2 linked regions of the Drosophila melanogaster genome follow. The protein of the gene in region 1 interacts with the protein of each later gene in a pairwise test. Each region holds a gene or a part of one and is shown in the gene's direction. Other genes may lie near its edges. The genes, in order: CG42788 and IPIP.

Region 1 (15,496 bases):
ATGGGGCTGCAAACGATATAAGCATTAACCTGACCTAAGATGTGAATGATGTCATCAGTGGACTGACGGATAAACGCTTCCAAGTCGAACTTACCATTTTGGCAGGGATTTGGTGTATAATTGGTGATAACCGTCGCGGGAAATAGTCCAAGACAGATTAACAGCAGCAGCCGTTGCACACGGAAACCCACTTCACTGTCAGACATTTCGATTCGAACTGATCCCGGCTCACCGGTGACGGATTAGGAACGGCTGAAGCTGCAGCCCAAGCGACCTTCACCGTTATCTGGAACACGAAGGTTATCGCAGCGCCAGCAATTATGCTTTCCAAAGGCATCCCAGCGAGCTCAGCGTCGCTTCGATTAGTCTCTCGCCTAGTGCGGACCGCCGTACATCGCGAATCTGTGTCTCAGCTCCCGGATCAGCAAGCAAGTTAAACAGTATGCTTGTGAAGTCATTCAGATCGGCCCTGGTTGCCTGCCTGATCACCCTTGTGCCTTGCGGAAGTGCTCAAGCATACATCGCGGTAACCGAATGTGGTTTACTCTGAGGATTGGTGTCTATTCTTATACAAATATATTCCCCTAGAAGCCGACATCTCCGCAGGGATATCAGGATGTCAACGGCGTGTGGCAAAGCTCTTTCGTTTGTCAAACAGGTAAGAAATCTCTGAAAAAATGGTTAATCTCGCTGTACCAAAAATGGTGCCCAATTTAATCAGCAGCTGTGTATGACTATTTATAGAACTACTCAATGCTTTAACTGATAATTTTAAAAAAGTATATGAAAAACCAATGTATTATTATTATATTATTTTTGGTTTTATCGTTCATTAGGATATCAATTGAAAGCGGATGGAAAATGTTATCCACAGACTAACAAAACGTGCGGGCCTGGTAACTTAGTAAAAAACTTATAAATCTTTAATTCGTGAGATTTTTTGTTGTTTTTTTTTTTCGTTGTCATTTTGTTTAGGATACTTTCTTAGCATTGATGAACTATGCTATCGTACGAATCCTGAGCCTTGCCCGCTTGAATCGACGACCACTACTACTACGACAACAACAACAACAACAACAGAGCCCACTACCACAACAACAACGGCAGAGCCCACTACCACAACAACAACAACAGAGCCCACTACCACAACAACAACAACAGAGCCCACTACCACAACAACAACAACAGAGCCCACTACCACAACAACAACAACAACAACTGCGCCTCCCGTCATTACAGAACTGACTCGCTGTCCACCGGGATCGATTTACTTCGACTCGCAGTGCAGGAAAATCGTCTGTTCGGAGGGTGAATATAAGGCTGGCCGTTGCATTTCATTGGCATGCCCAGCGGGAACCGTGTGGTATCAAAAACGCTGCCAACAACCGGGATTTATCACCACTATCCTTGAGATTGACAATGTGATCCACAATGAGCACAAGTACTCGGTGACCAGCGAAAATATAAATCGTGTGGAGTACATTACATCCGCACCCTATGATCCCGATAACGACAAGAGCTATGACTATACTATAGATAACATCGTAGCCACAACAACAACCAGACGTCCCTGGATATACCCCAGTTTGAGGCCATCTACGGAACAGTCGGCGGCTAATGAAGTCTTTCCGGGGCGTCATCCTCCACCGCAATGCTGTTTTGTAAAGAGCCCTCGCATCTGCATCAACTATGCGCCCAACTGGGTGTGCTCCAACAAGGAGAATAAGTTCTGCGATTCCAGAGTCTGCACGGCCCCGGTGGTATATCTCAAGCCACCGAAGGTCGTATATGACGAAAACGCGAAACGAGTGGTCATGCCGCCAAATCCTCCACTTCTGGCGTGCAGCACGCCGGATTGCAAGGAGAGCGGTGAGTCTTCAAATCGTTTCTTTTATTATTTACATTGAGTATCTGCTTAACGAACTTATCGAAGAGATAAGGATAAAAAATGTATTTCAGGATCATTAATACAATCTTGTGTTTCCACAGACATTTTGGATTGCTCCGGCTGCAAGGATCACCAGCGGGATAAGTGCTCACCGGGCTGCTACAGTTACTACTGTCCCAAAGGAAGCTGTGCCTTCATGAATATCGAGGACTTTTGTGGCATTTATCCTGGAGAATTTGGTTGCAATGCAATGGACGGATGTATCTGGGATTGGTGCAACAAGAAGTGCTATTAGCTAAAACAATTTGTCTCTCTGCAACTTAAATAAACATACTTTAACTTACATAGAAAGACGTTAATATTACTGCTTATTACAGTCTTCGACTAGCTCTTGTCGAACGCGGATGTAAAATCTTCTATTCTCTCTGAGAACATTTTGGTGTACATTAAATATTTTCTGTTTTCTTCTTTAATTGTGATATTCGCAAAAAAACTACAATCAAACGTTCAAGTGATGCAATTGGCGATGCTGAAGCATCTGCCGTTGAAAAAATGCGTACTAAAAGGAATAAACCACTAGTGGAGCGCCAGAACGAACGGGGCTCCAAGCAATTTACAAATTATTTTCGTCCACTACAAACTTTAGACGATGATAATGATGATAAACCTATTGAAACGGACACACTTGATGAAATAATAATCAAGCCACCTCCTATAACATTAATTAAACAAAATACAAAATTTGTACACGAGCTAATGGCTAAAATTAAAACTGATGATTACTTTATTAAAACCATCTCAATTGGAATTAAAATATTTTTACCAAATATGGACTGTTTCAATGCAGCTTGTAACCAACTCAAGGAACATAACTGTGAGTTCTACACGTACAATACTAGATCAAACAAGCCATACAAAGCCATTTTATCCGGGCTGGATAAACTACCAATTGAAACTGTCAAATCCATGCTACAAAACCTAGGATTACAATGCACCGAAGTCAAAATTGTGGAAAAGAAAACTAAGTCTGATCATGAATTATTACTGTACATTGTTTATTTCGTAAACAAAAGTATCACAGTAAAGGAACTGCGCAAAAACTTTATGTATGTCAACCACACTAAAGTACGCTGGGAGTATAAAGTGAAATTGCAGAATAAAATTACTCAATGCTACAATTGCCAACTATTTGGACATGGATCAAATAATTGTTCAGTTAAAACATCATGTGCCCATTGTGCTGGATCACACCAGACTGCCGTATGTATGGACGTAAACAACAAAAAATGCGCTAACTGTAAAGGCGACCATCCATCGACAGAACTGACATGCCCATGCCGAATTTCTTATCTCAATTTACTTTCCAAACGCTCATCACAACGCATTGGAAGAAATAACTTGGAAGCTCATGGAATGAGGAATTCTAAGCAACACATCGCTCCATCTGCTCTCTTTGGAAATCAACCCCAGATCTCATTGCCTACTCAAACTAAGAGAGTGCAACAACTCAACTTTGGTAGCTATAGTAATGCACTCACCAATATTCATACTTTGCCTAATCCCAAAGCAAATATCACAAGTGAAACTAATCTCTTTTCATGTGAAGAGATAAATTCTCTTTTGTCTGAATTAATAACAAGATTTAATGAATGCTCCAATAAGGGAGAGCAATTTCAAGTAATTTCTCAGTTAGCGATTAAGTATGTTTACACAAACAAATAATTTTATTGATAATTTGAATATTATGGCATGGAATGCTCGTGCCGTTAGAAACAAACGTATAGAACTGATCAAGTTCTTAGAAAATAATCACATTCACATAGCACTTATAAATGAAACGTGGCTGACTCATAGTGACCGTTTTAATATACCCGAATACACTATATACAGAAATGACAGGAAGGAAAGTAGGGGAGGCGGCGTTGCCATTGCAGTTAGTAACACATTGATACATGAACAAATACCCTGCATTAAAAGTCATGTTATTGAAAATGTAGGTATACAAATCAACACTGACTCTAATTCCAGTCTAAAAATTTACTCTATTTACTTTGCTGGAAATACTTCAAAATGTATTCCTAGTTCATGTGATTTATCTTGGGACCATAATCATTTAAAAAGTTTGTATAGATCTGATCTCCTTAAGATCTCACAAATAAATGGAAATTTTCTAATTTGCGGGGACTTCAACTCGCGCCACAGAGCATGGAAGTGTACCCGAGCCAATGGTTGGGGCAAAATTCTCAATGAACTTTCAGATCTGGGAAAATTCAGTATTTTGTACCCTACGCAACCCACATATATTCCGCATAACCATAAAGCAAAAGCATCAACATTGGACCTATGCCTCACTAATATCCCTAACCAGCTGGCTAATCCAGCAGTAATGCAAGAGCTTTCCTCTGATCACCTACCAGTGGTTATTAAATACTCTACAAATTTTATGCGCAATGTAAAAACATATCCGATTTTGGGAAGGGCAAATTGGGCGCTTTTTAAGAGAATTATAAATGAAAGGCTGATGGTTGAAGAGGTGGTTGTCAACTGCTCACAGATATCGACTTTGGATATTGATAATTTAATCGGCTCTTTCACTAGAGTAATCAATTATGCCTTTCTTAAAGCAGTCCCTCATAAACCTATACATCACTCCAAGCTTACACTCCCTGTACATATATTTTTTACAAAAAGAAGGAAACCTCGTTATCTTCCTGATAGACAGTTGCGAATACTAGACTCTCCAATACAATGGGTTGACAACATTCGATATTTGGGTATAATTTTTGATAAAAAACTAACATTTAAATACCACATCAACAACACAATTATGAAAGTTAATAAAATTATTTGCACACTGTACCCTCTAATAAATCGTAAATCTAAATTATCAATATCCAATAAGATCATAATTTTTAAAACAATTTTTAATCCAATATTAATGTATGGGTCACCTGTTTGGGGTAGATGTGCTCAAACTCATATCAAAAAACTTCAAATATGCCAAAACAAGCTGTTAAAATTAATAATGAACTTACCTTATTACACAAACACTAAGTACCTACATATAAAAGCAGGTGTACAAAAAGTTCAACAAAAAATACAATATTAACAATCTTTTGTTTCAAGTCTTAGTTTTTAAGTTAGTTGTAAGTCAATTAAGGTTTTTCTTCTCCCTTGTTTTCCTTAATAAATAATAAATATTGTTATACAAAAAAAAACTAAAAACAGGTCAACTAGACATAATTAATAAATATTTCAGATGAAAGCCTTAGCTAAACACTGTAAATACCTAATTATACCATTAGCTTTAATGAAATGTACATATATATATAAGGGATAAAGCACAAATAAATTAAATTAAAATTAAATTACTGCTTATTACCTTTTCGGGAAGTCCCCGTTTCGAATTTCAAATTACCCTTAAATAGCTAGTACACACTCCCAACTTAGCAGAGACACGCACCGAACTTGATAGCGGGTATACAATGTCGATAACACTTCGTCGATAGATCGATAACACTTGGGGTTTGTTTCAGCTGTTGCCGCGCCAGTCTCATTGTGTTTTTGCATCGCGAGCGGGACGGTCGTCGATTCGGGTTCGAACTGGAATCGGAAATAGCGGTCTAGCGGGCCTTTCTGCCTCTCTGTGTGCTTTTGAAAAAAGTTTGCTTGAAAAATGTGTAAAGAAAGCGGCGCCGCCAAGTGAGTGCGTGTGTGTGTTTTTATGTGTTTGCAAATACAAAGGTAAAACAGCCCCAAAGGCAACAACAAAGTGGCGGCGTTGGCGGCTATAGCGCAGTAGCAGCGACGCAGCGGAGCAGCAGCAGCGACGTCCAGTGCATTTTGGTGCAAACTAATTGTTGTTGTGAGAGGTACGCTATACTCGTATGTGTATGTGTGCGAGTGGGTGTTAGTTGCAGGTGTGCGTGCGATTTGATTTGCATTTATGTTGGGGTTTTGTTTTCAACTTTTCATCAAGTAATATAAACTAAATAAATGAACTATGTGTGGAAATTATTTAATATATATATAAATAAAAATAAAAGTATAATATGAACATGAAAGTTAAAGTTAAATCGTAGGAAATCAACAAATTGAGAATATTAAATTAAACAAATAGCCGAAAAACGCACACAATACAGCAAAAGCAAAGTAAAACTAAAATCATATTTAATAAACAGCATAGGGGACTGTTGTATAAGCATTTGTTTACATAGTGCAAAAGCCCATAAATTGTGCAATTCCCCCAGCAGAGAATTGTTCTCTCTCTCTCTTTCTCGCCGTCCCTTGTGTTAATTGAAAAAAAGTCAACAAACTTCCTGTTTTTTATGTGTCTGCCTCTCTTTTCCGCACTTTTCATAACTGTTGCCGCAGACAACAAGGCTATTATTGTGGCAGTACCGCCCCGCCCCCTGCCTGCGCCTCCGCAGCCCTTTCTTCCGCCCACAAACTCTCTCTGAAAAGGGAAGCGAAATGTGAGAGTGTGTGTGTTGGCAAGAAAGTTTTGTATTTGCTTTTGTGATTTCTGCTTGCTGTTTGATATGTGCCAGAAGTGCGGGCGTTGAAGTTTTTAGTGCAACATTTCTCTGCTCCAGCGGGAGCTTTTATAATGTGTGTGTGCGCTATTATTAAAACCCCCAACGCTCACACACACACACAGCCATGTGCATGGAGCAAAAAACTATGGCCGTGTGTATTTGTGCGAGGCGTTGGCGTTCTGACCAGCAGAAGAGGAAGATGGCGCAGCGGCAAGGGGTGAAAGGAAACGGAAATAAGTGGTGAAATGGGAGAGGGGAAGAGAGTGGGAAGAATACTAAATAAATAAATTAGAGAATCAAACAAATAAGCGGAGGAAAGTAAATAAATAGGTAAATTGAAATAAATAGATGAAATGTTTAACTAAACCAAAATACGGTCGATTTTGTATTGCAAATTGTATGGGGATGTTATATTTACTTTGAATTGATATTTTATATATCCATCTAAATCCATATAGCCATCTAAAAGTTTACGCTGGAAAGGTCATTATAATATTATCCACACTGTGTGAACTAATTATATTAACAGAATTTCGCGGAACACAGAAATCTTGTCGGTTTTGGGGTCAGTTCATAAATAAATCAAACAAATCGGGTAAAACGTAAAAGATAAACATTATGTAAATCAACAAACACCGCCCAAGGAATTCCTGTGCAATTTCGAGTGTTTACCTCTCGCCCACCTTGCCCACACCACCATCCATTCCCTTTCCTTTCCGTCCCCTTTCACCCACTTGTGAGACATAAACGTCGCCGCACATTTGCCGTACCCCCACTCCAATTGGTGGGGTATTGTAATAAAGCGTTTTACGATCTCCGGTGCCTGACGCACTTGTTGTTTTTATGACAGTTAAGCTATTTTGCGTATGACACGTTTGACAGATGCCAAGCGCCCAGTGCTGCTGCCAACGCCGCTGTTAAACGCAGCCCATCTCGCTCCCTCCTTTTCCCAGCCTCTCCACCGCCGTTAACACTCACCACCCATAGTTGGTTGATGCCCCCTTTTTACATGAAACCAAATTAATACTTTGATTTGGGACCAAGCGGAAAATATATTTGATTGAATTTCTTAAGAGCACATTATTGATCCGTTCCATAAACAGTTTAATACTAGATTTTATGAAATTAAAGCTTTAATATTATTCTCATTTGAAATTAGCCTCAATTAAGATAACCAAAACTTTTGGATGCCAAAAATATTATTCCATGCTGTGGCCTGCTCGACCAACATACATATCGTGCCACCCTAACCCACACCCCTTCGCTGGCCGAAAAAGTTTGTGCATGTTTGTTTGCTGCGCAGGCATTTTAATTTCACCAGCCATTAAGTACACAAAGAGTGGGCGTGTGGCATGTTGGGGGCGCAGCGGGTTGGGTCGGACAGAGAAGTTGTCTTTTCGCAGCTCCTTTTACGCATGTTTTCGCGCTAGAGCCCAGAAAGAAGTCGGCATGACATCAATTTTCTCGGCCAAATGTGGCGAACTGCGACAGCGGCAACAACAGCAACAATAAACTGGGCCACGCCTACAAAAACCATAAGCTGCAAACATCAAATATCAACGGCAGCAGCAGCAACAGCTAAAACAACAACAAACAACTGCCGCTCGGCTTGTCGCATGTAATTGCTTGCCGCAAAGTAAATGACAATAGCGCAAGGCAAAAGACAGTGGGGACAAAGTGACGCTGAATGGAATGCTGATATGCAATAATTAGTATCAAGAAATGATTGACGATGCTTGCGATAAATTGATACCTAGGCATAATTTTGATAACCAATAATATAGGAATTGCCGCTCTTTAGCTTGGTTTCATCTTAGGTATATCTTTATTATCTAAGACAATCAAAATGAGTCTCTTCTGATGTTAACAATTTCTTTGGTTTTTTCAAGTATTACGTATGCGTAATTTCTAATACTATGTTCTTATATTACCTATTTCATATTTTTTATTTATTTATTTGTTGTATTATTTTATTCAGTAGTTTTAATAATAATATTTTTGTATGGATTTTACTCCGATTCGTCCCACTGTACCGACAAACAAGCTGAGGTCGGTGTAACTAAAAACCGCAAAAGCTTGTCACTCCCCCTTTCGCACATCGCCCCCGGTTTCCACCTCCCGCCACGCCCCCTTGGGTCGCACACACTTCTATGCTGTCGAAGTAGTTGCTTCCGCTCTCGCGGTTTCGTCGCTCCCGCCTGAATAAATGTATGTACATGTATGTGTGTGTGTATAGAAGTATCTATCGCAGTTGTATCTTTTTGCTGTTGTATCTTTAGCCGCGTACGTGGGCGGCAAAGGCATTAGAAAAAAATATCAACGTCAAGCCCGAAGTTCAAATTCAAGCTTTGAAATATTTGCTGGATGACGTCGGCGTCCAATCTTTTGTCGTCGTCAATCAAAATTCGAAATATCTTTGACGCATTCTGCGGATGCATGCGCCTAGGCTTTGAGTTTCCGCTGCGGACTTCGGCTAAACAAATGCCAAAACCCAAACACAAAACAAAAAAAGGAAACTGATAAGCCAGGCAAACATTTAAACACTAGCTGCCATTTGCGTATCGAATATCGTTTTTGTTTATTATCTTCCCATTATTACTTGTATTTATTTACCTCCTCACTTTTTCGCTTTTTGGTCAAAGCTTTTGGCCATTTAATATTCATTTATTCAGCCATGTTTATTTATTTATTTGCGTGTCTCTCGGTCGGAGTGTTTGTGATTGTGTTTTCTACTTGTGATGTGGGGCTAAAAGACCATAAGACGTAAAAAAAAATAAAAATAACGAAAAACGTGAAATCGCATGCTAGGAGCCATGGCCATGATTTTGAATTTTAGCGGGCCAGAGTCGCGACAAAGAAATCCGAAATAAAATAAAAAAAAAGTATATATATAATCGTAAAGGCATTTGGCATCCATTTGATACCCTTGTGGAGGGTCATCGATTACTTTGATTTGTCATTTCTGCACGTTCAATTTCCTGATATATGTGGGATTCCCAATTTGGTTAATATCTTCGGAGTAAATCTTTCGATCACTTAAAATAGCCTATTTAAAATCAATTAAATGCTATTTGTTGCTTTTGTTTATTTTTATACTTCTTAAATATTATATAATTAAAGGTTATTGTGTAACAAGTTTTTGAGGTAAGCTGTTACCCATAAAACCATAAATTTCTATTAATTTTACAAGCTTCGTTGGCCTTTCCTTCGGTTCACATTTTGAAAGGAGAACAATATTTTAGCTTAGAGAAATCCTGCACTACCAAAGCCATATTTCATTTCGAAAATCATAAATCTCCGAAAGTTTCTGTTGGTCGGAGCGTAATTCATTTAGTTTGTGCGCCAAGCAGGAATTAATTGAGATCTTTTAGACAACTTAAATAAAAATATATGCGTATGTACACATTGGATTTAAAGGAATATGCTTTATATCTGGCTTGACAAAGCAATTTAAATATTTTAATTCAACGACTGCCAGCATGTACTTTTATGGAAATTTTGTTTGGGAAAAACAACGATGCCAATGGGAAAAATAACAAAGATAGAACTGCTTGCCACTCCCACCCATTCCCATCCCATATTCCAATTTTTACCATTTTCCCCACCCGTTTTTTCCCACCAGCGGGGCCAAAAGATTTTCGTAGCTCATAAATTCTTTTGTTTAACTCGTTTTTCTTTGATTTCTTTAGCCGGGCACGTAGCGAACCAAGCGCGGGTAAAGAAAAAAAGTGAAAATTCAGTGGGAAAATTGTCGCTGTCTGTGGCCCACTGCGATTACAGCAGCAGCAAGAAAAGCAGCCTCAAAACTAATTAGTTGCGCTGCATTCAAACTGAGTTTTACTTTTTGCCCCAGACTGCAACTTGGATTGAGTAAGACTTTCATCTGATCCCCGTTGCCGCCCCTTTGTTCACCCAATTGTCCGATTTTCCACCACTTTTCCCCGCCACGGTTGTGCAACTTTGGGCTCAAACGAGATGGTAAGAGACAAATTCAGTTAACTGTTACACACAGTCACTGACTGACTTAATTCCCTACATTTTTACGATTGTACCATTGCACATTGGTAGAAAAGTGATCTGAAAATGTATGAACTCATTTCCTATGATGCTTAAGTAATGGCGCCCTGCTGCATAATCAGGTTGATGTTACCGCCTGATTAAGTGCTCCAAACAGCGCAGATTGTTTTCGATGTTACGCCAGACTATTTATAAACGATCGGATTACACCTGATCATCGCTTGATAGCAACTGGGTCTGGAAAAGTTTGCTTAGTCAGCCTTAAGGCGCCGCCTGGCATTACTTATATTTCAATCTGTTAAGGGCATCAGTCAGGCATCGCATTCAGATTATGCCTCATCTGTGGAAACTAGTTTTCCTTAATTACCCACTCTAGGCCACTGATTATATGCCCACCTAATTATTTGAAATATTAAAATGGCTTGATAACGGCAATGCGGCGAAGTAATAGTAATTTTTAATAATCAGCAAAATAATTAAAATGAGCTTTTTGCAAACTAGCTGCTTAATACCTATAAAACAAATCATGTGATTATTGCTATTTATAAACTTAAGTTTCTAAACCGTAGTTGATAATATACACACCTATATATACATATATACGCCGCCCATCTGTTGATCCCATCAAACAATCATCAGTATTCCCAATTCTTTGCCTGTTCATAAACCTATCATCAATGCGTGCAATCTATAAACCATCTGTTGATCCATTCACCGTAAATCTGTCGGCATTATCGTTTCCCCAACGACCTTGAACCACTGTGCATTCGAGGCGACAGTTGTTGGCTTTAACTTTGGGCACTCTGGCTACCGCTGCTACTGGGCAACTGGTGTACTGTGGAACTGGTGTACTGTATAACTGGTGCTGCTGTAATCGTTGCTAGAGCAATGGCATCTAGTCCGTCAGGCCGAATCAACGTCTTATTGGGATTATGCTGGTGCAATGTTTTTCGCCGGCGGAGCGGGAGTCGTGTAATAAAAAGTATCTGGGTATTGCAGATGTCTATCCCGCGTCGCTGCTGCTTTTGGGCATTAATGAATGAATGGAGACCGTCTTAAGTAAAGCCGGCTTGGCCAACTGACAGTGGAGCGCAGCTGGGAAAAGGGGCGGTAAGCTGGGAGTTTTCCCTTTGCTTGATTATTCTCCTGCTGCGCTCCACTGCGCGTCAAATTTGCGCTCGACCCGCCCGCATCCCGCCTCCGACAATTTCTTGATAAATTTCCATAAAATAAGAATCAAGCGAGTGAAGAGCGTGTAGAAGTACAAAAAAATTGACAATGTTGAGAGGTTTTTCGGTTGAGAGTGTATATAAGTATATGCAAATCAAGTAATTTGTCTCTAAAGCATTTGTCTGGCTTCCGAAGGAGAGTAAAAGATGCAGATTGGGCAGAAGACCCCAGACGAGCCAAAGATGAGGCAGCCACAACTTCCGGTGTCAGTTTAGTTTTTTTTTTTTTTTTTTTTGCTTTTCTTTGGGTGCGTCTTCTGCTCAACTTTTGGTCTGGTTGTGTGTAGGGGGAAAGATTTTATAAATAAATTACAAAACAAAAACGAGACACAAACGTCGCTGAAATAGTTGGGGAGAAGTCGTGGATAAACTAAAACTAAAAACAAGAGGAAAACATTGCCTTTGGCTTTGTTGGTGGGACATGCAGGTGGAAGCTGTTATCGTTGTTAGCGTTTCGCAAAAGAGTTTTCATCATGGTCGATACTCTAGCGCATAATGGGTACTACGATATTTTAAAAAAGAGAAAAATCAAATGGCCATGAGCTTACTTTGCAAATTATAGCCTCAATTAGGGAACCATCTTTGTGCACTTAAATTTATTTCTCATGGCCTAATATATACTTAAAATTCAATTAATTCAATTTCAAATCATTCAAATTTTATTTTAAATTTAGTTTAAGGGTACATCTGCTTGCGATGGCTATCATAAATCTTTGGGTATTTTTATTGGAAATATTTGTTTGTATGTTCTCGCCTCGCTGTTCATCAAAGCCATTAACAAATGGCAAGAAGCAGCCAAATTATTATTATTTCTCTATAAAAATAGCTAAAATATGCTTAATTTAGTTGGCTCTGATGTGTGAGTGGTGGCGTATCCCACATAATTATTTTTGGTTAAGTAAGGCCAGAATTTAGCCGCGTGGTTGTCAAAACGCCCACCATGACGCCAGTCCACAAAACAAAAAAAAAATCGAAAAAAAAGACGAGGGCAGAGACAACGTCAGCAGAGGATGGGGCCAAAATATTGGGGAGTGGGGAAAACAAGACGAAATGGAAGCCAAAGAATTATGGTTGTATTTTCCTTATTTAATAAAGTATATTTATGTTTTAGTACAATTGTTTTTGGCCCGCATTATTGCTGTCTTGTGCGGCCATCACTCCTACACTATGAGAAATTCCCAGGGCTTTCGGGCTGGGCCGCAAATGCCCGGCATTGCGGTCCATAAAACCGGCCAAAAGCGTAAACCAAATTAGTTCATTTATATGTATGGAATATCTCTCGGCCCGCAATCCCTCCCAAGTTGGTCAACTTTTATGGCATTGCGGCAATATACGATTATTATAATTCTGTTTTCTTTTTTTTCCTGGCTGGCCAAAAGGGTCAAGGCACTTGATTGGGGCTGGGCGATTTGGGTGGCATACAGTGACTGGTGTTCTTCAAGTGCTCGATGGTCCGGATTGAAATTCAGATAGAAGGTTAAGTAGCGTTGAGATATGCACTTGTGGTTGCTTGTGACAAGGATACGTTTTTGAGTTCAGTTGTAGGAGACGATATTCGGTTTGAGATAAATTTGTTTATACTCAATATTTACTAAGAACTATCGGCTGAAAAATACCAAATTAATGAATTATTAGTTCTTTTATAAGAATGAGCATATGATCCAGTTTGTTCTTTAACATACATGTATAATATTTACAATGTTTTTCAACGCTTTACTTAAATTTATTTGGCTGCACCCTCAGAAAAGTCTTATTTCATTATTGGGGTATAAAAAGTAATATCTAATATCTAATATCTAATACCGCGACCCATCCGCAGCAATATATTTTGGCCATTGCGGGCAGAGTAATGACCTGGGCCAACACAATAGATTCGAGTTTATTGCGCGCCTGGACAAATGTTGATAAGGACCGAACTGTGACCGACCCCCAACTCTCTGAATTTCTCATCCTCCGCCCACAAAAATCAACAAGCATTTTCCAAACAGAATCAAGCAATAAGCGACCAGCTCAAACATTGATTTTTTTTATCACTCTGGTGGCTTTTGGGACCCGAGTCGCGACTTTCCGTTGCCAAACAGAACAGAAGAGAGTTTCACCTTAATTTCGTCTTGAACTTGTTTCTCCTCCATTTACTTCACTTGTACAAGTAGTTCCTGTTGCCGGTTCTGTTTGCCGTATTTGTTATTTATTTGCCCAGCACTAAATGGAATTCCGTTGAAATCGGCTTGATCTTGATGTCTTGTTTTCGGGCGAAGTTTTTGTGTGTTGTACTGCCCCAGCGTTTCGTTTGCTCTTAAAGATCTCATTTTTCCAGTGGGATCGGTCGGCCAGTGGTGGTGCTATATGCTATATGCTATATGCTATATGTGTATGACCCGCCACTCCGTCACTCAGTCACTCATTCACTCACTTAGTCATTCAGTCAGTTGTAACGTGGTCGTCAACGCAATGCCAACGCCTCTTCACTTCGCCAGTGAGCCCATCCCATCGCCTTTCCCTTTGGCTTCGTCTATTTGCGGGTCTAAGGGCCTTCTCAGGTCTTCAACTTGCCGACACTGCATCGTTTTCGTTTTCGTAGACAAGTGATCTCGTTTTGGCCCGTATTTCCTAAGATTTTCAATGTGAAGATGGATGGCCAACGTGGGGAACGTGATTATGAGCATGATCTTGATGGATTATGAAAGATCATTAGGACTCAATGAAGTAATGGTGTCATCTAATGTAGTACAGACGAAAGGACTACAGTTCATGTTCTATGAATATAAACAATAGTAATTATCAAATATACATTTTATCACGTATTAAAAGTGTCACATGTGCGCTTCTCTCAGTTTGGTTCTGGCATCACCATAAAGAATTGAATGCTTATCTCGAAAATACCAAGAATCGATCTTTAAGCCCTTTTCAACGAAAACCTTCTAACTAACCAGAATCTTTGTCTGAAATCTAATATCTTTCGGATGCTGTTTTGTGCCCTTTTGTTTTGTGACAACTTTATTGAAATCAAAACCAATCTTTTATGATGGCTTTCGTGGCAGCATTAACCCGATGCTGCGCATACATTAATGCACATTTTACGTTATGTCCCATGGTAGTGCCTTCTTTCCAACAATGTAATATAATTTATTTTTTTTGTTATGACCATCCATGCTGTGAGAGGGGATTTTCAAATGGATTGGCACGTGATGTGGCCAGATGTTGCCCTAGCCGAGAATATAAGTACGTACAACTTTGGCGCTCGAGAGCTTTGAAAGAAAATCGGGAGAGTAAAGAACGAAAACATCGCATGGAATAAAATGTGTAATAAAATAGAAATAATATTTATAGCTGAGACGTCGATATGTCTAAAAATAAAGGGGACGCAGCCAGCCCAGAAGCTGCCCCAACGGGCTCCCTCCCCCTTCTGAGGACCGCCTCCCTTGTTTTTTAGCCATGTGCACGAGCTCCCATTCATGGAGGCAAGGCACCGTGACCTGCCTCAGTCCCCCTGCTTTTCCGCCTTTCCCCCCCTTCATTTTCCATTTTCAAGCCCCCACCCTCCTCCCTACGATGTAGACAAATCCACTTGGCAGAGCAGAACAGACCGGAGCCCATGAAAAAAAAAAGGAGGAGAAAAGAGGGGAAGTTGGATGGACATTGATTTAAATCGATATTTTGCGGTTGAGCTCATTTGGCGTAAAATAAACTTGGCCCAAGTCAATAATCCCTTTGTTCACCCACTCTTTGCGGCATTTGGAAATATATCCACCTCTACACTAATTTCCCCATCTTCGGCTTTTCACTTCACACTTGTTAACAAATCTTTCGTGTAAACAAAGGGG
Region 2 (15,571 bases), on another chromosome or scaffold:
ATGCTACTCAAAAGCAACGTATCCGGAGAGGGTCCTTAACCTGGTTATGCAACTGAATCGCACAGTATGCCTGGACTTTCCCGAGGCGAATGTGCCCTGGTTTCAACAAAACTACATCGAGGCGCAGATCAGCAAAAGTAACATATAACTACAATTCTGTATTAGGCGTTCTTTATCATATTATCTTTTTAGAATCCTTAATACCCAGTGAGTCCACAACAGAGGTGAAGCAGCTGCTGCATCAGCTTCTTCAAAATGACAAGCATTTCCGCTGCAACCACACTACACCCTACGGCTACCAAATAGACTTTGTGATACATTTCGATCGGGATAAAAATCCCATCCCAGCACCTCCCGTGGAGGCAACCATGTTGGATCGCATAACCAAGTAGGCACACAAATGGAAGTTACCTTATTCAGGTACTTCATTAATGACTCCAATTTCAGAGTGGCAATACTACTGCTCAAGCTCGACTCTTTTTGTGAAAACGATCTGACTGCATTGCGGGGTCCTGAATCTTTGAAGATGCGACATCTAGAGATGATGGGCTACAAAGTGATGCAGATCAACGAGCACGACTGGAACTCCAAGTATATGGCGTCATCAACAGCCAAGGCCAACTACCTTAAATGCTTGTTACAAATTTCACATTAGCTTTCATTTCTATTCGTTGCGACGACATTACTCATAAGTACGCTTATTTGAGTTTTAAAGTTGTTTGAGTGTTTAAGTTTATTTTATAAAAATAGTAAACAAATTCGTGTATATAGTATTTAGATATATCAGGTCATAAATGCCAAGAACCTATTTAACTGCTTTCAATTCATCTAGAATATCTATTGATTCGACTTGACACACCAATTGTACGCGTTGTTAAACATAATCTGCCAAGGACTTTCCGATTGTGTGGGGGAAACTTCGAATGAAGATGGCACATAGGGCCACTGGTACATGGAGGAGCATCGCTCGGGATGTGGCATGAGGGCCAAGTGACGTCCATCCGACGAGCAAAGGCCAGCAATTCCCTGAGGACTACCGTTCGGGTTAAGTGGATACAGTTCCGTCGGTTTGCCTACATCATCAACATATTGCAATGTCACCAGCTGTTCCGACTGCAAGTGGCTAATGAGCTTCTCGTCGCGGAATGCAAAGCGACCTTCGCCGTGAGCCACCCAACAGCCAAGAACCAGATCCTTCATACTTCCGAGCATGATGGAGCGATTGCTTGGAATCTTCACGGTGGCCCAACGACACTCGAACCGCTGCGATTTGTTATGGAGCAGGGCCACGTCGGGATCTGCGCCCACCTCGCTCTTTGCACTGCCAACAAATCCTATAAGTGTCATCAGCTGGCAACCATTGCAAATGCCCAAGGAGAACACATCTTGACGACGCTTGAAAGCCTCAAACTGAGGCAACAAGCGGGGATTGTGGAGGATGTTTGCTGCCCAGCCCTTGGCGGATCCCAAAGTGTCCGCATAGCTGAAGCCGCCCGGGAAAATTAGTCCGCGGTATTGGGACACGCTTGCGGTGCCTGAAATATTAAATTATTTGCTTTAGTACTTCCCCCTTTATTAGAATTTACCATTGAGTTTACCTTGAAGAAGATCCGACATGGTCACATCGTGCACCTCGAAGTTAGCCCTCAGCAGGCAGGCCATCATCTCGCGCTCACTATTGACACCCTCCTCACGGAGCACGGCCACGCGAACTGGGGCGGAGGATCGCTTGAGAGTAAGCTCGGCCTGCACATTCTGAGGTCCCCTATACTGAGGTGCTTGGCGATACTCAAGGCTATTGTACTCTGCCTCGGCGCACTCAGGGTTGGCCTGAAGCTTTTCCAGCTCGTAACTGGTTCTCTCCCATTTCTTGTAGAGCACACGGAGTGGCTGGTCCAGCAGCTCTGACTTGCCGTTCTTGAGTACCACTCTGGAATCCAGTCCGAATCCCTCGGTCACGCCCAAATAGTAGTTTGGTACTCCTGCCTTTTCGTAGGTAGATCGAACTCGTTCCAGGTCTGTGTCCAGGACTTCCACCACCCATCCACACTCCTCGGCGAAGAGAACAGCTAGTTCGGGACGATTAAGTTTCTCGACAGACTTATCGAAGTTCTTGAGCTTGGCCAAGGGCTCCGATAGATCCACTCTAAGGCCACTCAGTCCTCCGATGGCCATCTCCAATACGCAAACAAGCAATCCTCCGTCGCTGACATCGTGTCCTGCTTGAATAAGTCCATCTCCCAACAACGATTGAGTCACAGCAAATGCTTTGCCCAGCACATCACTCCTTGTCAAGTTTGGCGTATCTTTGCCCTGCTGCGCGTATGCCTGAGCCAGAGCCGATCCACCTAGGCGAGCGCTGTTCTCCAGATTTATCCAGAGCAGGGAAGTCTTCGACCCCGCGCCGGGTCCTTTAAGATCAGGCGTTACCTTTAGCCGCACATCCGGACAGGGAGCATAGGTGGAGATGACAAGAGTACCCGGGGACTTTATTGTCTCACCGCCCACCTTAGCCGCCATGGACAGGGAGTCCTTTCCGCCATCGATGGCGATGTGAAGTTCCTCAAGAATCTGACAGAGCTCCTTGCAGGCGTCGAACATCCGGGCACCCTCGCCGGGCAGCTTTGCAGCCCACATCCAGTTGCCAGAGCACTTGACATCAGCCAGTTCGCTGATCTTTACAAACACAAGGTTACTCAACGCTTCAGCCACACACATCCTGGCCATTGCGGCGGGATCAAGCAGTCCTTTTAGTGGCTGTGTACCAATTGAAGTGGCGATTCCAGAGTGACTAAAGTGGGAGACGGTGGTTAACGCGTAGTCCGCTAGTGGAGCTTGGAGCGGTCCCACGCACTGTTGCTGTGCAATCAATCCACCGACGCAGCGATCCACCTTGTTGGTCAGGAAGCGCTTGCTACCGACTGCCACCAAGCTAAGAACTCTCTCCAAGGCCTCGTCCAGAAGGAGACCTTTCGGCAGACTCAACTCCTTGAGCGGCGTCTGTTCGCGTTTCAAGTCGTACGTTCTCTTGGGCATGTCGCCCAAAACGTACTTAAGTTCCAAGTCGAACGGTGAGACTTCGCTGCGATTGGACGCATTCAACGCCTGTTCCAGATCCTTGGGGGCAGGCTTCTCCAGCAGCGTTACTCGCCCATCTCCGGTCACCACTCCCACGAAGCTGATGGGACAGCGTTCACGGCGGCAGATCTTTTCCAGCAGTTCGCGTTGATCAGCGTTGCAAAGAATGGCATTGTTTTCCTGGTACTCGGCACCCCACAGTTCGAGGGCAGTGATCGTGGGATCGCCGAGTTGGAACTCCTTGGAGAAGATAACAGCTCCGGCAAAGCCTGGTTCCACTAGCTCCTTGAGGACATTGCCGTTGCCGCCAGCCCCCTGGTCATGGATGGCTAATATGGGGTTTTGCTCGCCCAGGTCTAGACAGGCTCGCACCACACGGTTCAATTTATTCTCCATTTCGGCGTCTCCTCGCTGTACGGCATTAAAATCTAGCTCAGCATCTCCGGATCCTTGTATCTCCACAGAGCTTGCGGCGCCGCCACCCACTCCAATCCTGTACACTGGGCCCCCGATCTTGGCCAGCAACTGACCGCGTGCCGGCGGCAGCTTCTCGCGCATGGTAGCGGGCATGGTGCCCAAGCCACCGCTGAACATGATCGGTTTCACGTACTCATCCCGCTGGCTGGCATCGGCAGCACTGTTCAGTCCATAGGAGAGGGCAAAACCAGAGATCACTGGCTCGCCGAACTTATTTCCGTAGTCGGAGGCGCCATTGCTCGCCTCAATGAGCACCTGAAGTGGGGGCGCAAACGTCGCAGGGTATTTAAAGTCCAAAGGCTCGTACGGCTGTTTGTAACCTGCGACGACAAGAAAGTCGTGATGTATAATAAAAACTAATAGGAACTAAATACTCAAAAAAAAAGCAATGCTCACCTGGAATGTGAAGAGCGCCAACACAGTAGCCAGCGGTGCCGGCGATCGGCACGCCTCCTCTGCCCACGCCCTGGACATCACGCAGTCGTCCGCCAGTGCCGGTGGTGGCTCCGCTGAAAGGCGCCACTGCAGTGGGCATGTTGTGGGTCTCCGCCGTGAAAATCAGGTCAGACTGCACGCTCTGCAGACGCACTGCGCCGGGAGCGACCACGGAGGACGGAACTATGGTCTGGTGATCGAATCCCACCATGGCACTGCTGTTGTCGCTGAACTTAATGGTGTTGTTCGGGTTCGTGTGGGCCTGCGTGTCCATGATCATGCGAATCAGCGACTTGGGCTGCTCCACGCCGTCGATCACCATACGTCCGCGGAAAAACCAGTGGCGCGAGTGCTCACTGTTGCTCTGGGCGCAATCGAAGAGCTCCACAGTGGTGGGATTGCGGCCCAGCTCCTTGGCAAACAAGTCGTGGTAGTAGTCCAAATCGTAGTCGTTGAAGGCTAAGCCCAGCTCCTGATTAATCCGCTCCAGTGCCGCCCTACCCTCCTCCAAAACGGGCACGAAATGCCAGTTGGCCTGGCGCTCAGGTAGCTGCTCGTCAAAGCTCGCCTTGGGGGTATTCTCCTCGGTGTACAAGCACTGGGTCATGCGGTCACCGAGCAGAGGAACAAACCTGGCTGCCTCCGGCGCCTTTGATCCCTCGCCAAAAGTAACCAGATAGCGGGTGGAGGTTTCCATGCGACGCACCTCTGAGTACCCGAGATTCTGGAATATGTTCACGCAGTTCGTGGAGTACGGCGTGGAGAAGTTAAAACGCGGCCCGATCTCCAGGAGCAACTGACTCGACCCAGTTGACTGCAGGGCAGGTTGCCTGGACAAGCTCTGGCCTTTGCTCAGCGGTTGCTTGACCAGCCACACCAGCAGCTCGTCCAGGGCCAGTGAGTGCTCTGCCTGAGCGCTGTACTCCAGATGATAGCAGCGCTCCATGCGCACGGACACCACGGCGCCGTCTTCCTCGCGCAACCGACGCAGGACACTCTCCTCCTCGGCCGCGGAGTGGGCCTGCACATCGTAGTAGCGAAGGATGACCATGTCGTGGGGCTGCAAGAAACGAAAAATGCGGATTGAGTACAGACAGTGTGCACTCCTTGCTCGTCGAATCGAGAATGATCTTGGGAGTTGCGAAGCGGTTGACGACCAGTGGGTCCGTGCCCACGCTGGGGGTTATCAACTGGCGGCACCTATACCACAGCCACACAGCCCACAACCCACAGCAGCGGATCAGGTTACAGCCGAGCGAAATCGATGGAATCGCCTGCAGCAATCGCTGCACTGGCGTCACAACTTGTTTTTGTTTTTCCCCGGCTGGGAGTTTGCTGATAAGCCGGCGTAAACATATTTTCCATTACGAACGGAAACCTGCGTTGCTGAATGGTCGGAATTTAGGTAAATAATTAACGCCAAATACCCCAAATTGAAGCACAATAACACTAACACTGAGCGGAGCACACGTGCGTCTTAGCTGCAAATTACGATCGTTTTGAGGCTCCAGCTCGGTTTCCCCTCATTTCGCGGCTCAATCCACCACAGCGTTCGGTTGGCCAGTGCTGCACAGCGACTGCCGCTGGAATTCAAATTAACCCTTAGGCGAATTGAGCTTTAAAAGCTTTCGTAAATTGTACCCATTGCGTAACTTGCAAGGGTTAATGCTACACGGGTTCAATGAACCAAATAGTTTAATTGTAATTCGTAAGGATTACTTGTTTATTTTGATTAAAAGCTTACGAAAACTGCTAAATAAATAAGTTACTTCTTTTGATAAGTTAGGTAAAAGTATTTCACCTTGTCCCTAGAACACCTGCTGTTTGATCATCAACTTGTTTCCAAGCACCCACTTTCCCCTTCAATCACATTCTTCGCAACTGTTGAACCAGATAAGGGACATATCAGTTTCCATGTCTGCGATGCTAACTAGGTACACAGTTGTTGAGCCACTAGGCACGTGGGCTTTTGATGATAAGCGAATAAAACAGACGCCAAAAATCGCTAATCAAGTATGTATGTAGAGAAAAAACCCACAAATCGACTTTCTTGGGTTTTATTTATACACAGAATGCTTAAAATTGCTGCAGTTGCACATGCGAACGTCATGCAAATGCAAAAAAAAAAGACGCAGTACAAGTGTGCTGCGAATTAAAATTAAACAATTGAACTTGACACTGGCTGGTCGTAGGCAAATATGTCGTTTAATTGCTCCTCTCGTTCTTCGAAATCTGCGGCGGCTTACAAAGCTTACATTGACTATGTACTTTAGGTTTATATATATATTGATCTGCATGAATGGGGGCCAGCATTAGCGCGAGTTCCTTCCAGTTCAGCCATTCGGGGGCACTTCTTTATCGACATGACTCATTAGCAGTCGATTCGTTCGAAGGGGAGTAATAATTATAAAATATATGCATTGAATGGCTTGAGAATAGAGGAAGGTGTTGCTGTCCCACATGTTGCTGTCCATGTCCATCGTGCCATCGATTAATTAGTTGTACTAAAACGACGACCGCGCGCCATCTAAATAATTCACTAGTGAACAGCCCCCGCGCGACCTTGCACTGTCGCCTTGTCGACACCTACGTAATGTGCATCGCCTTCGCCGCCTTGGCGGCCTGCGCACTGATCTCGTCCATGCTCTTCCGCGCGCTCTCCGTCACCTCGTCGATGGAGCGCCGTGTGTTGTGCAGAAGTTCGTCGGTGCCGCGAGCGATGCCCTTGACCTCCGTGTTGATCAGCCCGATCACCCACTCCAGGCCCTGGCGTCCCTTGCCGGCATTTGTGCTAATGGTCGAGGTGAGCAGGTCCTCCATGTAGTGGGACAGCGGCACACCAAAGACGGTCACGGTGGCCTCCTGCTTGAGCAGCGTCTTGCTGGCATCCGACGGATGCGGCTCATAGTAGAGCACCTCGTCCACGCTGATGTTGCGGCAGAAGGTGAGGTTGTTTGTCTTCAGCACCATCTGTTTGCGCTCCGGGTCCACCGTGGAGCGTTCGCTGGCGAAACAAGTTTTGGCCGTGCCGATCAGCGCGTGCGTCCACTTGGGGAAGTACCACTTGGACTGCACCAGGCGATGCGTGTGCAGGACGCCGTCCACCACACGGCGCTCGACCACGTCCGTGCCAATGATGGAGGGCGTCATCGGATTGGGGTACTTGCGCCACGCCGCCTGCGTGACCGTCTCCCACGGGTGGTTGAATATGTGCTCCGATGTCCAGATTTTCATTATGCAAGCGCCGTTGTCGTCACCGTCCGGGGAGGGCTTTATATCCTTAATTGGCAGCCGAGATGCGGGCTGAGCTGAGCCTGCGGGGGCAGACGGAACGGAATTAAACAGGGGGAGCGTTAGCTGAAGTACACGACTCGAATTTTGACGGCAATCTCGGAATTATTGAATATTTCCGAGACAAGTTACGAGAGCTGACCTTTACTCGTGCTGTGCTGCTAGAGATGACAGTGGCTCCGATAGATGGGGCTATCGCTGGCCAGTGCATGGGCTAGGGTGGTCACACTGGCGCAGTAAGAGAAAATGAAAGTGCCGCAGGCACCCTGTAGCGGTAACTTATTTATTAAATTTATAAACTAAATTAATTCTAAAAGTAATGGCGGCACTTTGACATTGCACGTGCAGCTTCCTATTGCGGCCCGAAGGTACGTACGTATTTCTCGTAGGGCCGTTTATCCAATCGCTGTAGTCGGCTCTCCACGAGCTCCCGAAAGTTGTGTATTACCTCGGCATCCGCCTCGATTAGTTTCCTCTCCTCGTTGATGATCTCGGCCAGCTGCTCGTCACTGTCCGCCGCCGCCCGACGTGACACCGAGCCCTCCAGACGAGTGCTGATCTGGTTGACTATCTTCTCGCTCTCGTAGTCCATTATCTTGGCCAGCGCCTTGGCCGGCGTGCGCCGCGCATAGCGTGACTCGGGTATGGTGGGGGCATCCAGGTACGACTCCTCCTGCACCGCCAGCGTGTGCGGCTCCTGCTGTTGCGCGTCTTGCTTCAGCTCCTCATTTGTGTACTCAATGAATTCCTGCAGGGAGGGCTCATCGGGATGCGTTTCGCTGAGCGTGGAGTTGTTTTGAAAATTGGTCAGGTGGAATGTGCCATTGGTGTCGTAGAACTTGTAGCCCAGCATCTCCAGCGCGATTTCCGTGAGTAAGTACGACATTTCGCAGGATTCAAAATTCGTTTATGTTTGCAATCTACATTGAAAACTAGAAATTCCGCACCCAGCAATCGATAACCGGTGGAGGTGTGGCAGCACTGGCCATCAGCTGTTCGCGCAGCGTCAATTGTTTCTCGCTTTGCATTTTTTTTACCTGTTCATCACAATAATAAGAGACGAAAGGCGGAAATAGGACACCCATATTTGCTTCGAATGCAGCCCGAGACAGTGCAGCCATGAAGATCAACGAGAAGAACCTGTACGTGTTCGCGAGAACGCCGCCCTTCGACATGGAAGGTATGCAAGCGAGCCCTTTCGCTCGTCTATTAATAATCATAATCCATTTATCACACACCGATACGCCTTGCAGGCTTCCTCAACAAACGGGGCGAGGTCAACAAGGCCTTCCAGCGACGCTACTTCGTGCTGAAAGGCAACCTGCTCTTCTACTTCGAGTCGCGCTTGGACAAGGAGCCCTTGGGCCTCATCATTGTCGAGGGCTGCACCATTGAGCTGTCTAACGAGGTGGACAACTACTGCTTCGAGATCGCCTTCAACGGCAATCGCACCTACATCCTCGCCGCCGAAAACCAAGACAGCATGGAGACGTGGATGAAGGCGCTAACATGCGCCGGCTACGAGTATAAGCGCATCATCCTGGCCGAGCTAAAACGCCAGTTGCAAGAGATGGAGGACGCAAGAAACAGTGAGACTGCACAATGGCTAATCCTACAATCCCTGTGCACTAATCCGCTGCGTTCTTTAACCTACAGAGATGCTCGGCAGCGCCTTGGACGGACCACAAAATGCATCGGAGAGTGCGAAGCCTAGACCGCCGCCCAGGCGGACAAATCCATTCAACAGACCCGCTCCTCCTCCACCAGACAGTTCGCTGAGGGGCGGAGTAGTCATGTCGCCCCTGCCATTTATCAACGGATACTTCGGATCGAGCAACGCGCGCCTGCAGCAGGAGAAGCTAATGAGCAAGCAAGGTATGAACACGTACTCTTAAAATGGATGTACAATGCTGTGGGTATAGTAATGCAAAAATTAACTGAACGGAAGTGACCAAATTGAAAGACGAAATGAATCACCATGTTCGGGGCTTTGAGTTTTAAAAGCTAATTTTAAGTGGGAAACTTGGCCAATAGATAACCGCAGAACTACAACTTTGCCTAAATACAATCATACGGCATTTTTCGGCCCCAAAGCCAGCTGTTTGTTTGTCCCAATACAATGTGAGTCTACCGTTAGTAGAAGCTAGAGATAAGAGCAGAGTGCTCTCAGTATAATCCGAACTTCGATTGCCAGCTTATCGTTGCCATTTACCCAGAGCCGATCTAATTTAGTCAGCGGAATGCCACTAAGCGACATTCTCTGCAAAATCTGTTGCATATTCCCAAAGCCAGGCTACAGGCACTTTCTACTTGCAGACGCAAACGGAAACGGAAGCCCCAGCGGAACGCCCAGGGCCCAGCGCCGTCCCACGCCCGCTCCTGCCATCGCGAACAGCGTCTTCTATCCCGATGTCCGGGATCCGGGAGCGGCCAACAATAATCACAGCACCGTCAACGGTGCTGAGCGCCAGCGTCGCCAGGTCAAAGCACTGGAGGAGTTCGCACGCAACCACGAGCGCTTTCGCAGGGAACTGATGCCGGATGTGTCCGCTTACCGCGAGCGCCAGGGTCAGCCGCTCATCCAGTTGTGATGTAGGAGTGGGCTGCTCCGACAAAAAGCCAATGTATTACCCGTTTTGTGCTAAATCAAATACGTTTCAAATGAACTATGCTTAATTTCCATACATGTTTGTTTCAATAAACAAAACTTTAGATATAACAAATTTCGGCGATCATGGCGCACTCAGTTATGTGGGCATACTAATAATTGGGTTTTTTAGGTTATTTGTTAGAATTGAAGGACTAAGTTGGTTTTAAAGTTAAACATAATGTTGGGATTACTCAAATGGATAACTTAAAGAAACCTAATTTTTGGATGACAAAGTTCTACATATGAAAGAACAAAACTTTTTTTGTCCAAATGAATAGACCACATATTAATTGTTATTTAGAACATAATATTTTTTAAAAATTCGATAGACACAAAACCCAGTGTGAACGGCGAAAATAATCGATAACTGCTAAGAAAACAAAAACATCGACGTTGGTTGCTTTGTGGAAACATCGATAATCGCGAGCAGCCATCGATACATGTTCCAGCTCTGTAACCTAGCGTTGTTGTTTGTAATTTAGCTGTGAAAAGTAATTAAGCCGCACACAGAACTGTAAGTTCACCCGCTAGATAAATATATTTGAGTAAAAGAACACAACCCGAAATGGTTAAAAGACTGCAAGAAGTCAGCAAACTTATTTGATTCGTTGAAGCCGTGAAATGTCTCTGTGTTTGTAAAGTGACGCTACCATTTTAAAGGTGAATTTTGCGCCGGGCATTGTCTTTTCTGTAACTTCGGCATGGACTTTTTTAGTTTGAAAGCCAAAACTATGAACACAATGCGTAGTTTTTCGGGTATCAAGAACTCATTTATCAAAGGCTAGGAATATTCACTATATCTGTTGGCGTCGCTTGCTGCGGCTTTCATTTTGTTTCTGTGCAAAAACCACCACACAAACACAGGGTCACACAGACGCGAGCACAGCAAACACACACCACCAAGCGGCCGAGAGCGGCTTGGTTTTGGACCGTTTATGCGAAGCTGAGCTCATGAAAACCGGAATTACCGTTTTGAAAATTATGTTTAGTTGATATTTTGAAACACTATTTCCAAATATAGAAATACATAACGTAAAAACGTAACGTGTTTTTAAATTTAATATTACGACCCTTCCTACTTCGATTTCACGTATTCAGCAGTTCATGAAGATTAAAACATAAACACAGTGCGCGCTACGCTCTGCTGCGTGTGAAGTTTGGTTCCGGTTTTCAGGGCTTGAACTTATCTTCTACATTGCTCCCTTCCAGCCGCCGAGCAGAGAGATCCAGACCAGTCCAGTCCACAATACAACCCAGTACTAGCGAGAAAATGTCGGCCAAGCGAAAGGCAGGTGGCAATGGAGCCGGACCCAACAAGCGGCGACCCAAAAAGAAGGAGTCGGACTACGAGGACGAGTTCAGCGACGAGTCCGACGACGATGGCGTGCAGCAGCAGGCAGCGGCCGCCAACCAGATGGAGGTTCTCATTCCCCACGACGACCTCGACCCGCCTAGCAAGCTTCCCGAGGACTTGCTGGCCACGCTAGAGAAGACTCCAGGTCAGATGCTGATCGCCGGCATGGTGACCTGGGACCTGACTGGCAAGCGGGACCGCAAGAACGTCACGAAGGTGCGGCCGAATCTGTACAGCTTCCATCGGTTCACAGAAGAGAAGGTAAGCTATTCCGCACAGTCGTGGTCCACTTGATTTCTGAGTTCTTTTCTTTCGCAGTACCGATATGTGGCCAGCGGACCCAGTGCCGCACACACCATTCTTATCAACATGGACCGCAAGGCGCTCGGTTTCGGGCGTAATCCCAGCGGCCAGCTGGGCCTCAGCCAAGACATCAAGTTGGCGGAGAAGCCCACCATTATTCCGGCCCTCGAACAGCTGAACATAGTGCAAGCTGCTGTCGGCCGGCACCACACTCTGTTTCTCACTGACACGGGAACCGTATACGCCTGCGGCGAAAACAAGTCCGGCCAGTGCGGTGTGGGAAATACGCATGCTAACATTTATTCGCCCACGCCAATTAACTACCGAGGTCCGCCGATCATTCGCATCGGTTGCGGAGCTGAGTTCTCTGTTATTCTGGACATTAAAGGTAGCCTGCACACATTTGGGCTGCCGGAGTACGGTCAGTTGGGACACAATACTGACGCCAAGTACTTTGTCAACGCCAACAAATTGTCATTCCATTTCGAGACGTCGCCCAAAAAGGTCGTTTTGTACATAGAGAAGAGCAAGGAGGGTCATGTAACGCCAGTCGATGGCGTGCAGATAGTTGACTTTGCTTGCGGCAATAATCACACGGTATGTGGATAATCTCCATTCCCCACTTATTTCAAGTCTAAACTACATTTTTCTCTTCAGGTCGCCATCGACTCCAAGAAGCGCGTTTATAGCTGGGGCTTTGGCGGTTTCGGGCGTCTCGGACACGCAGAGCCCAAGGACGAAATGGTGCCGCGTTTAATGAAGTTTTTCGATACTCAGGGTCGGGGTGGGCGCAGCGTCTTTTGCGGCTCCACTTTCAGTCTGATCGTCAACGAGCTGGGCCTGCTGTTTTTGTTCGGACAGAATAAGAAGACGGGCGAGGCAAATATGTACCCCAAGCCAGTGCAGGATCTTTCCGGCTGGAACATTACCGACATTGGCTGTGCCAATACATCGATTATGATTTCGGCCGACGACACACTGATCGCTTGGGGCGCATCGCCCACGTTTGGCGAGCTGGGCATTGGGGAGTTCCAGAAGTCGTCGACGGTGCCCAAGGAGGTGCCAAAGTTGGACAACATTAAAATACCTCAAGTGACTATGGGTTACTCGCACACGGTGTTGCTTGTGGACACCACCCATGAGGCCACCAAGCAAAAGTACGAGAAGATGCCCGAGTACACTATCGATGATTAGGTGATTAGATGGTGTGCGGCTTTCCAAGTGCTGCTGCAAACACGTTTACCGCTGCCAACAACAATACTGCTCCATGTAGGAAATTCTCAGAACTGATCATCGAAACTCTGCTGCTACTTATCGAAAGTGAAACTAAACACAAAAATCCAGCAAAATGTATGCTATAAGTTAAAAGATTATTATTACGCTAAACTCGCTATCTACATACTATACGATAATCTCAGAAAACGGAAAAAAAAAGTTGATTATGTTTCCAAACTCTAATTTATTCTTGTAACTGATACTATTCCATCCTGATCCTGTTCCCCTTTTATAATTTATTGCCGCCCACCTTTAGGCTTAAAAAGATGCATAAAAAGCATGATTACCCATTTTTAATTTTTAATTTGTAATTTAAACGTAACAAGTTACAGTATTCTGCATTCATTTCGAACAGAGTGAGCAAAAGCAACCACAAAACTACAAAACACGTAAATTAACGAACTAAGCGCATAGGTTACATATAAAAAGTATACCATGGAAAAATCCAATACCAGTTGCAACTATTAATAGTACATCATGCATTTTAATCTTATACAAAGGAATATTTAAATAAAGAGAATGTTAGTATTTAGACTGCACTCGTTTATCACTGGCTTTTCACTGAATGGTAAACATTAAAGCTACTTATAGCTGGCACACATATTTCCTATCGAGCAGGAAACTTTATGGAGGTTTGACTGTAGAGCGGCGAATCTAAGAACAAATTGGAATCAAGGATTAGCCGCACTGGGGTAGCTGTAGGTCAGTCCGCCAAGGGATGTTTGGCGGTATACCCCGATTTCTGACCTGTGCCGACTGAGTTCCCAGGCCCAGTCCCAGTCCCAGCCTTGAGTCCTCAGTCCTGATGTCCTGCCGATTGAAAGCGAAAGTCAGAGTGCGGAAAGCTCCGGCGCAAAGCTCTCTCTCTCACTCTCTCGCCGAGTCTCTCTGCTCTCTCGCGCGCGAGGACTCTTGACTTCGGAGTGCGACTTTGCGGCCGGAGCTCCGGCGGATTTTTCCCTGACACAGTCTTCCGCCGTGGTCCTGTCGAGTAATGTGCGCCGCTGAGGAACAATCCCTGCACGTCGCGCCTTGAGTTTCATTTTACCTTTTTTTCGCCCCCACCCCACCCGACACTCATACATACAAACACCGACCGCACACTCGCACACAGACACACACACACACGCGCACATTTGACAATATCAACAAAATAGTTCGAGGAGTTTTTAAAGCGTTTTTTACAAGTGTACGGCGATTCATTCTGCACACGAAATACATATTTGCTAAATTAAATATATTGAAAAGGCGGCACAGCAACGATCTAACTGTAAATTACAGTGCCTTCCATACAAAGAAAGCGCCGCAGAACAACATCGAGCAGCAGCAGGATCAGCAACAAATGCCTCAACACACTTCGTTAAGGATAACACGGTAGGACATTACGTATACGCAGTGGGGGAATCCTTGTTTATGCACATGTATATATGTGTGCATGTATAGGTTTGTTTGCGAGCGTATGTGTGTGCGTGTGTGCAACATTATTTTTCGCTGTTGTTCCACTAGTTATGGTGTCCTTTTTTCGGATGTGGGTGTGTGATTGCGTTGCCAGCGACCATCGCCTGCGAAACTAATTAGAAAGTGTCCTGCCCGAAATCCATTCACCAAATGGAGCCTAAAATTAAGGAGGGAATTTCATTTAAAAAAAAAGGACTATAAATTCCTTGTATAATTATTTCTCATCGCGCAGATACAAAGACTTGTTTGCTGGCCATTGTGGCGGTCACGAATAGGCCAACGAACAAGAAGCCTGGACAAGGACCCCCGGCATCCCCGACCATACCCATCCGTCCGTCCGCCTAATACGAATATAAAAGCTGCTGAAATCAATAAAGACAGACAAAAAGCTACGGGCTGGCTGACGTTAAAGCCAAAGGAAAAGAAAGGCAGGCAGGGCGCAGGGATGTGGATGTGGCTGTGTATCCTGCGCCTCGGCCAAGACAGGACTACCGCCCCCCAAACCACGGCTGTGTGTATATCGTATCTGCTTGTGGCACATTAAGTCACCTGTGGCGGACACTTTTCATATCGGCAGCAACAACAATGGCAAATCTCGTCATCATCGCTTTCTCTCGCTCACCTACCTCATTGGCTCTCCTGGCGGGCACATCCTTGTGCCCCATAATCCAGCTCCTACCCTCTTTCATCCTGGCTTTTGTCACCTTTTGAGCTTGTTGCTGACGTTTGAGTGACGCAAATTAATACATACACAATTCGTTTAGTTCTGGGATCGCCGCAATCCGCTTGCCAGCAAAAGTAGAGAAAGAGAGTAGCCCCAAGTCGAGAGCCTTCAGAATCACCGCCTGTCTATCCAAAAAGGCGTCAGCAGTCGAATATGCTAATTTGTGACTTGCAAAATTATTCCGCCCGATTTGCTCCACCACCGAATTATTTTTGTGGGGGCGTGACTTCAATATAAACAAAGATCAACACAGAAATGCTCAAGGAATCCATAAATCCATCGAGTCAGATGTGAAGAGGGTTCAAAAAACGAGTTAAGTTAAGACCATGCTCTTTAAACATACATATATCAAGTGTATGCAGATTGATGCTTTTCTCTCGGTGTATCGTTTATAGCAAAATATGTCTGTTGTCATTAAAGGTGAAGAGTGTGTTTTTGGGGCTTCAACTGCAGGTGCTGTCCTTTAAATATCAACAAGGACGAGCAAGGACTTGTTTGTTCGGCTTTCTCGCGCAATTAAGCGAAA

Evidence for each region.
Region 2: the proteins of CG42788 (region 1) and IPIP interact in a two-hybrid assay, tested with the Drosophila melanogaster proteins (one large-scale study listed by BioGRID).

What each region holds. Positions count from the first base shown.
Region 1 is NT_033777.3:15,121,872-15,137,367, reverse strand, and holds the start of CG42788 (uncharacterized protein), read left to right. Parts: upstream 1-5,441; 5' UTR 5,442-5,760; intron 5,761-6,508; exon of another isoform or gene 6,509-6,614; intron 6,615-15,496. Other genes in the region: CG3984 (uncharacterized protein), read right to left, coding at 1-34, 95-206; CG6912 (uncharacterized protein), read left to right, coding at 443-526, 589-658, 837-896, 976-1,869, 1,990-2,183.
Region 2 is NT_033779.5:6,040,477-6,056,047, forward strand, and holds IPIP (inositol phosphatase interacting protein), read left to right. Parts: upstream 1-7,525; 5' UTR 7,526-7,633; coding exon of another isoform or gene 7,634-8,167; exon of another isoform or gene 8,168-8,217; 5' UTR 8,218-8,400; coding exon 8,401-8,461; intron 8,462-8,534; coding exon 8,535-8,870; intron 8,871-8,937; coding exon 8,938-9,156; intron 9,157-9,597; coding exon 9,598-9,872; 3' UTR 9,873-9,962; downstream 9,963-15,571. Other genes in the region: CG31643 (uncharacterized protein), read left to right, coding at 1-137, 193-388, 448-655; Pfas (phosphoribosylformylglycinamidine synthase), read right to left, coding at 838-1,535, 1,599-3,875, 3,952-5,041; slmo (slowmo), read right to left, coding at 6,577-7,224; CG34179 (uncharacterized protein), read right to left, coding at 7,263-7,304, 7,658-8,167; CG9135 (uncharacterized protein), read left to right, coding at 11,202-11,546, 11,604-12,185, 12,246-12,782.